Arabidopsis thaliana: one gene and its partner. The protein of the gene in region 1 interacts with the protein of each later gene in a pairwise test. Each region holds a gene or a part of one and is shown on either strand. Other genes may lie near its edges.

Region 1 (3,756 bases):
AGCCAGCCTCTCATTTCACATCTTGTGTTTTTGTCTTACATTGGTACCTTGTGGAAGCAAATTTTGTTGTTGCCACCTTATATACAGCTTCTTGTGTTAAAACTATTGGCATCTCTTCCTTGTTTTGCAGGTGTTGTTTCCGGAATTCGGAATAGTTCTTTGTTGTTGTGCTTATTATACTGGTTAGTTTGTGAGAATGTGCATTGTTGGAAACAAGAAGGGAAACCGATCATTGAAGGAAATAGGAACTTTTATGATGACTACATGTTTCATTGCTAATTACCAATCCGTTCAAGTTTGCCAGGTACATGCCTCTCTTTGATTTAGTATTTCCTAACACTTCTATCGCTTAGGCAACACTGATTTATGTCATTAAAAGAACTCTATCCTCTTGATGACATGTGGATAGCTATTTGTTAGAGTATTAACCATAGTTTTTCTGATATTCAACCTTTCTTATAAATCATTGCAGGCTGAATATTTCAGACAGTTGCTTAAGCCTGTAACGTAGTCTAGCGTCTGGAGTTTTCGGAAATTGGGGTTTTGAGCGGCTATCTACTTTTGATTTCGAAAAAATTTACTGTGAGTTGTTAAAGAGTCTGGTATTCTGAAGAGCTGTCTGTGGGGGAGCTTCTGGTTTGGGGGGTAAGGGCTCTGGTGGAAACTCGTGATATCTTTAGTATGATGGCCATAACTTGATATAGCATTTGGTTCCGTGTGTCAACTTAGTGTAGTAGTAACTGAGCAGCTGGAAGCTTACAAAGGCGACAAATCGGTAGTAGAAAATATTCAAGCAGCTTGCAGTTTGAGGTGTACAACTTGTTTTTCTCTTTGCGTTTCCTTTTTTACGTTTGCACGGGTTTTCTGATGCAGAACAATCAGTTTCCTCACTTCTCAGATGAAGTGGGTGACAGAAATATGCACAACCCGTATGCATCAGGGTCATCCTATGATGCTTTGTTCCCACCATGTGCAAAGTTGCCATACCATGGTGTTGAACTTCAACCGTCTGCGGTCTGTCCAAAGAACTTTGTCATCTTCGATCAAACATATGACCGCAGCCAAGTGATGTACCATCCTGAGCTGACTCATAAGCTCATGAATACCCCTTCGTTGAACAATTTAGCTTCGACGTTTCAGAACGAGTATGTTGGGGGAAGTTATGGTAACTATGGTAACTATGAGCAAGAAGTATCCTCTTCTTATCAAGAAGATCCAAATGAGATCGATGCTCTCTTGAGCGCAGATGAAGATTATGAAGAGAATGATGATAATGAAGGTGAAGAGGATGGTGGTGATTCAGAAGAAGTCAGCACTGCTCGTACTTCTTCCAGGGATTATGGAAACACCACAGCAGAATCTTGTTGTTCCAGTTATGGTTACAACAACAACAACAACAACAACTCAAGGAAGCAGAGTTTATCGGGCAGTGCTAGTAGTAGTAACAATGATGGGAAAGGACGTAAAAAGATGAAGAAGATGATGGGAGTATTGAGGAGAATTGTCCCTGGAGGAGAACAGATGAATACAGCTTGCGTTCTTGATGAAGCTGTTCAGTATCTCAAGTCACTTAAAATCGAAGCTCAGAAACTTGGCGTTGGACATTTCTCAAACCAATCTTGAATGCTACCGATATTCGGTTCTTCCATCACTATTGTTTCTCGGGAGGTAAATCATCGGTCTAGCGCTATCTGGACCTTTCTCTTTATTTTCCTCCCTCTATACTCACTTCCTTTTGTTGGCAGGATGGTATCTATTTTATGTTTGAATCTCTCTATGTATTTTGCTTTTTGTGTGTTACTGCTTCGATGAAGAAGCAAGGTTTGAACAAGTACTTGTGGATTTGATTTGAGATTTTAATTTGTATGGTTTTACTTTCACTGTAATCATTTGACTATGAACTACAATTATCATTATGTATTTGCTTCTACATAGTTTTAAACATTTGGTCTTCCTTCTACTGAACAATGTAAGGGCCATCATTTTGAAAAGTCACGCTTATACCATAAAACGGGTCCTATACGTAACCAAAATTCAATTTCTGATGGAAATTAACTGGGTTATTAAATAACCGGGTTTATAAATTGGGTTATGATTACATTTTATTTTACACAGTATAGCTCAACGATTCGTCTCAAAGCTTCACACTTTCGTGAAATCTGCAGACTTTGTGTAGTTCTCAAATCTCGATTCGTTGGATTCAGTTGAAGAAATAGGCAATGGCGACTCCGTCGTCGTCTTTCTGGAACACAGCTTCACGAGAAGCCATGAAAAGCGGCGTGTTACTCGCGAAACTCTACTGCTTTCTTCATGTAACAACAAACTATCTCGGATTCATGGCTTATGTGAGTCAATCGAAATCTCTCTTCTTTTTTGGTGTAAATCGAATTCGTTATTGAAAATTTACCATAAAGATGTAGTCTTTTTGAGCAGGCTTATGGTCCGAGCATGACTCCGACGCTTCATCCTTCGGGAAATGTGTTATTAGCGGAGAGAATCTCGAAGCGGTATCAGAAACCGAGTCGTGGAGATATAGTTGTGATACGATCTCCAGAAAACCCTAATAAGACTCCAATTAAAAGAGTTATTGGTATTGAAGGTGATTGTATAAGCTTTGTGATTGATTCAAGGAAGAGTGATGAATCTCAAACCATTGTGGTATGTTTTGTTACTTAACCTTCTTCCTTGTTGACTTCACTTCACTTTGGTTTTGCTTATGGATGAGATTTTTGAATGTTGTACTTAGAGAACTGAGTTTGAAGAAGGTAGATACATTGTTGAGAAATTGAGTGATCAGAGTTGAAACAAGTTGTTAATTAGTATTGAGCTCGATTTAGCTGATTGCAATTCATGGAAAATTTTGAATCTTTTAGCAACGTTAGTGTTATTGGTGTATATTACAATTTCCTTTGGATTGTTTAGTTTGTTGGATTAATGGCGAATTGATCTTTCGATGTTTTTTTGGTTTTAGGTTCCTAAAGGACATGTCTTTGTTCAAGGTGACTATACTCATAACTCACGAGACTCAAGAAACTTTGGTACTGTACCTTACGGTCTTATTCAAGGCAGAGTGCTTTGGAGGGTATAAACTTTTTGTCATTAACTTACAAATATAGTTAGATTATCTGATTTCGGAACTTCAAATGTGTTATTTGCATTTGTTTTGGTAAATCTATTTGGCTAATCTTCGGTATGTATAATAATGTGTAGGTTTGGCCATTTCAAGATTTTGGACCGCTTGGACCAACCCCAACTTAGCATACGAGTTAGCTTGGTCATTAGGCCAATGAGATGACCGAGGCAGATTGGTAGTATGGTTAATCGTTGTTGCCGAGTGAGTCTGGCTCATGACTGACTATGAGATGCAGGATCATCATACCATTCACGAAGATGGGAGAATCTAAACGCTCAGGAAAAGTGAGTATATGGTTTAGACTTGAGAGCACGTAACATTATGTATTTTTGGTCTGACGCTGTATGTGAGAGTCGCCTCTGTATCAAAAAGTTAAAACAAACATCGAATGTTTTGTGTGAAGCCAAGATTATTCATGGGAAAATCTTATAACCATTTAAAAATACTACTTGATCAATAGCATTTCCCCACATTTTAAAGATTGCTCTATTTTCACTTAAATCAATCATGGTGATACCAATTGGTGGTAACGTCAAGTTTGTCAAGCCAAACTGTAGGGATTTTCTTAATTGTGTGTCAAATAATTTTTAAAACAATCATTGTGATTTATTTTCTGTTTTCCC
Region 2 (3,756 bases), on another chromosome or scaffold:
CAACTAATCCATGTATGCATGTATGTATGAATGCATGGATGCATGAATGCAAGCATGTATGAATGCATGGCGTGTATGTATGAATGCATGAATGTATGAATGCATGGCGTGTATGTATGAATGCATGGATGCATGAATGCATGGATGCATGAATGCAAGCATGTATGAATGCATGAATGTATGAATGCATGAATGTATTAATGCATGGCGTGTATGTATATATGAATGTATGAATGCATGGCGTGTATGTATGTATGAATGTATGAATGCCGGCGTGTATACGAATAAGTGCCTGTAAGTATACACATTCTTCAATTGATTTGCGAATCCAGAATTCTCTGTTTTCTGAGTTCTAAGAAACGCCACATTCTAGGCTCTGGACTTTGCACCTGAAGAAGAAACGTGACTTAACATCATATTCAAAGACCAATATCAAAAGATCAAGGAGGAGAAAAAGATTGAATAGATCAAATATTTGAACAAAACCAAAGGCACTTTGTGTTTGTTAACATAACTAAGATTAGAGCCGCTTCCTTGGTTAACTATGATGAACCATCATCTTCTTCTTGTTCTCAGGCAAAACGATCTGTAAAAAATAGAAAAGTAAACCAAAAGAATCAGACCAAGAACCAAACCGGAAACACAGTGATGCAGAACAAAATCTATACCAGATACAGAGCATCACAACACCACTTGATCTTTGATTCCCATTCACAAAATCTAAACCTAATACAGATATCCCAATCTCGCGATCGTTTACAAAACCAAATCAAACGAATCACAAAACTATCGTAGATGGTATTGAGGAGGAAATAACAAAATTGATCGAGACAAATCAAACCCCAAAAGATTAACACACCGATGGAACAAATTAAGTAACATAAACAAAGAACGAGAGGTGTTGTAACAGTAATCGAATCAACTAATCAAGTAACAGAGAAACACAATTCATAAACAGATCATCGGAATTGAGAATTCATAATCATCGGAATTGCCTCAAAGAAACCCTAAATTCGAGAGTTTGATAACTAACCAGATAATCGATATACCTAGACGAAGTGAGAGATCGTCATTTCTGGATCATGATCGTCGCCGACAATTCGTCGGTGAACCAAGCAAGATCGCCGGAGAAAAAAAAACTTCTCCAGACATTTTGCAAAAAAAATTAAAATTTAGGGATTTCTAAAAAGTGAGAGATATCATAGAGAGATTTGTAGAGGTTTTTCTTCTTCTTCAAACGGTCTAACTCCAATTTTTTCCGCTATATAGAAAAATTCAAAATTTGAAAAATCAAGATTCCAAGACTAAGACATGTTTCGAAAAAAAGAAATTGAAATTCCAGCTGTGACACGTCATGATTATCATGTGCAACAAGTTTGAGCTTAACCGGGATTTTAACATTTTGGTTTAGTGTGAAGGCCTGAATGTTTTTGGTTAAAGCCTAACCACTGTGATCTCATGAACATATTTAGATTCGTTTGGTTTTGGTTTTAAAATGTGACATTAATTCTAAGTCCAACCCAATTAGATCGAAGCAATTATATGTTATCTTCCCAACCCAAACTACGTATTTTCAACTATACAATGAAAATTAAAAGTGACCAAATTAGGCGACACAGAAACGAACAGGTCCAATATATAATAGTTTGGGCCGCTGTAAAAATATACACGTTTGGGCCAAGCCTAGTAAAAAAAAACAAAAATTTGGCCTCTTAACTACCGATTCCAAAATTGAAATGTAGCGTTTTGATTATTCTTCTTTAAATTGTCAGGTTCTACGAAAACCCTAACCAGAGAAGCTTGCCAGCGGCTGAAGAGTTCCGACGAAAGCAGAGGAAGAAAAATATATCGGTTAACCGACCGAACCGAAACACTGGGTAACCAAACATAATTTACAAACCTTCCGATCGGTTTTCCTTTCCTAACCGAAGCAAAGCCCGGAACCAAAAATTTCGGTTCGGAGCGGTTCGGAATTATCGGTTCGAGTTTGTCTCGCAGGCCTACAAAAAAAACTCTATAAATATATGACATATCTAAGGGTTTCCTTAACCTAATTCATTAGCTTTTTCTCTTCACTCTGAACGTGAAAACAAACACAGAGAGTTTGTCTTCAAAATCAACAAGAAGATGACGACCATTCGATCTTCACCTTCTTCCTCTCGTTGTTCCAATTCGTCTTCCTCTTCTTCTTATTCACTCGCTTCCACAAGTTTGTCTAACAGACTTGAGACTATATTCAAGAAAGCTTCAGAGCTTTGCACTCTCTGTGATATCGAAGCCTGCGTCATCTATTACGGACCAGACGGAGAACTTAAAACATGGCCTAAGGAGCGAGAGAAAGTGCGAGACATTGCTCTGAGGTTTAATCAATTAAACGAAGCCTTGAGACACAAGAAAAGCGTTAATCTTCATGGGTTCCTGAACAAGAAGAAGAAGAACAAGGGTTTGAAGAATCCGAACAAGAAGAAGAAGACGAGTCTTAAGAACGTGAATGTTTTAAAGTATCCACTCGCTGATCATTACTCTCCCGACCAAGTTTCTCAATTGACTCAGTCCTTAGAACTCAATGTCTCTAAATTCCAAGAAAGGCTTCGATTTCTTGAGTCGCAGAAACAGAATGAGACAAAACCGGATCATCAGAGTTTAACATCAATATCTTCTCTGAACCAATCTTTGAACCCTAGCCAGTTCTCGCTGTTTATGTATAACCATGGATATAATACTCTGTCTCAGATCCCAGTCTCTGCATCAAATTTCAATCAGGATTATATCTCAGCGTTACTTGAACAATCTGAGTTGAAGAGTCAGATAATGAAGCAGGAGGTTTGTGGTTATGAGCAGAACATGTGCATGAGTAACCATGGAGATGCTACGCTCTCTCAAATCCCATTCTCTGCATCAAATTTCAATCAAGATTTTTCAGCCAACAACAACTTCCAACATTCTTTTGTCTCAAACACACAAGATTACTACTCTGTTCAAAAATCTGTGAATAACAACTATGGGTTGAAGAATCAGTTAATGAAGCACGATCTTTGTGGTTATGAGCACAACATGTGCATGAGTAACCATGGAGATGCTACCTTCTCTCAAATCCCACTCTCTGCATCAAATTTCAATCAAGATTTTTCAGTCTCAATACAAGAAGAATCTGGCTTGATGCAGCAGGAGCTTTGTGGTTATGATCAGAATCAGAACATGAGCATGGGTGACATCACAAACAACAATTTTCAAGTTACTTGCGCCTCAGTACTAGAATCTGTGAACAACTTTGGGTTGAATCAGTTGATGCACAAGGAGTTTTATGGTTGTCATCAAAACATGTCTATGGGTAACATCAATAACAACAGCTTTCAACATCCTTGGGTCTCAAACGCAGACCATACTCGGCGGTACAAGAATCTGTGAACAACTTTGGGTTGAATCAGTTAATGCATGCAGCATGAACTTTACGGTTACGGTTATGCAGACTTTTGTTAATTTCTTATGATTAATTTGATGTGTTGTTGTTGTTGTTGAAATGTATTCAGATCTACAGCTTGTTTACGGTTATTAGTTGGATAGTATTTAGCAGTACATGCACTTTCACTTTCCATAAAGGTCATTATTGTATCATGATTGATGCAGAGGATATCTACACCAGTATTCTTTCACTCTATAGTAGCTAGAAACAACAAGTACTACGTAGCTTATTAGTGTCTTTTAAAGTACATATATATAAATGTGATATGTTGGCTCACTTCACAATACCTCGCT

What was found. The genes of interacting proteins can lie anywhere in the genome.
Region 2: the proteins of AT1G29960 (region 1) and AGL77 interact in a two-hybrid assay, tested with the Arabidopsis thaliana proteins (one large-scale study listed by BioGRID).

The regions. Positions count from the first base shown.
Region 1 is NC_003070.9:10,492,594-10,496,349, forward strand, and holds AT1G29960 (Peptidase S24/S26A/S26B/S26C family protein), read left to right. Parts: upstream 1-2,033; 5' UTR 2,034-2,219; coding exon 2,220-2,345; intron 2,346-2,420; exon of another isoform or gene 2,421-2,433; coding exon 2,434-2,658; intron 2,659-2,971; coding exon 2,972-3,082; intron 3,083-3,210; coding exon 3,211-3,258; 3' UTR 3,259-3,612; downstream 3,613-3,756. Other genes in the region: AT1G29950 (basic helix-loop-helix (bHLH) DNA-binding superfamily protein), read left to right, coding at 868-1,623.
Region 2 is NC_003076.8:15,512,677-15,516,432, reverse strand, and holds AGL77 (AGAMOUS-like 77), read left to right. Parts: upstream 1-2,127; coding exon 2,128-3,408; 3' UTR 3,409-3,490; downstream 3,491-3,756. Other genes in the region: AT5G38730 (Tetratricopeptide repeat (TPR)-like superfamily protein), read right to left, coding at 3,742-3,756.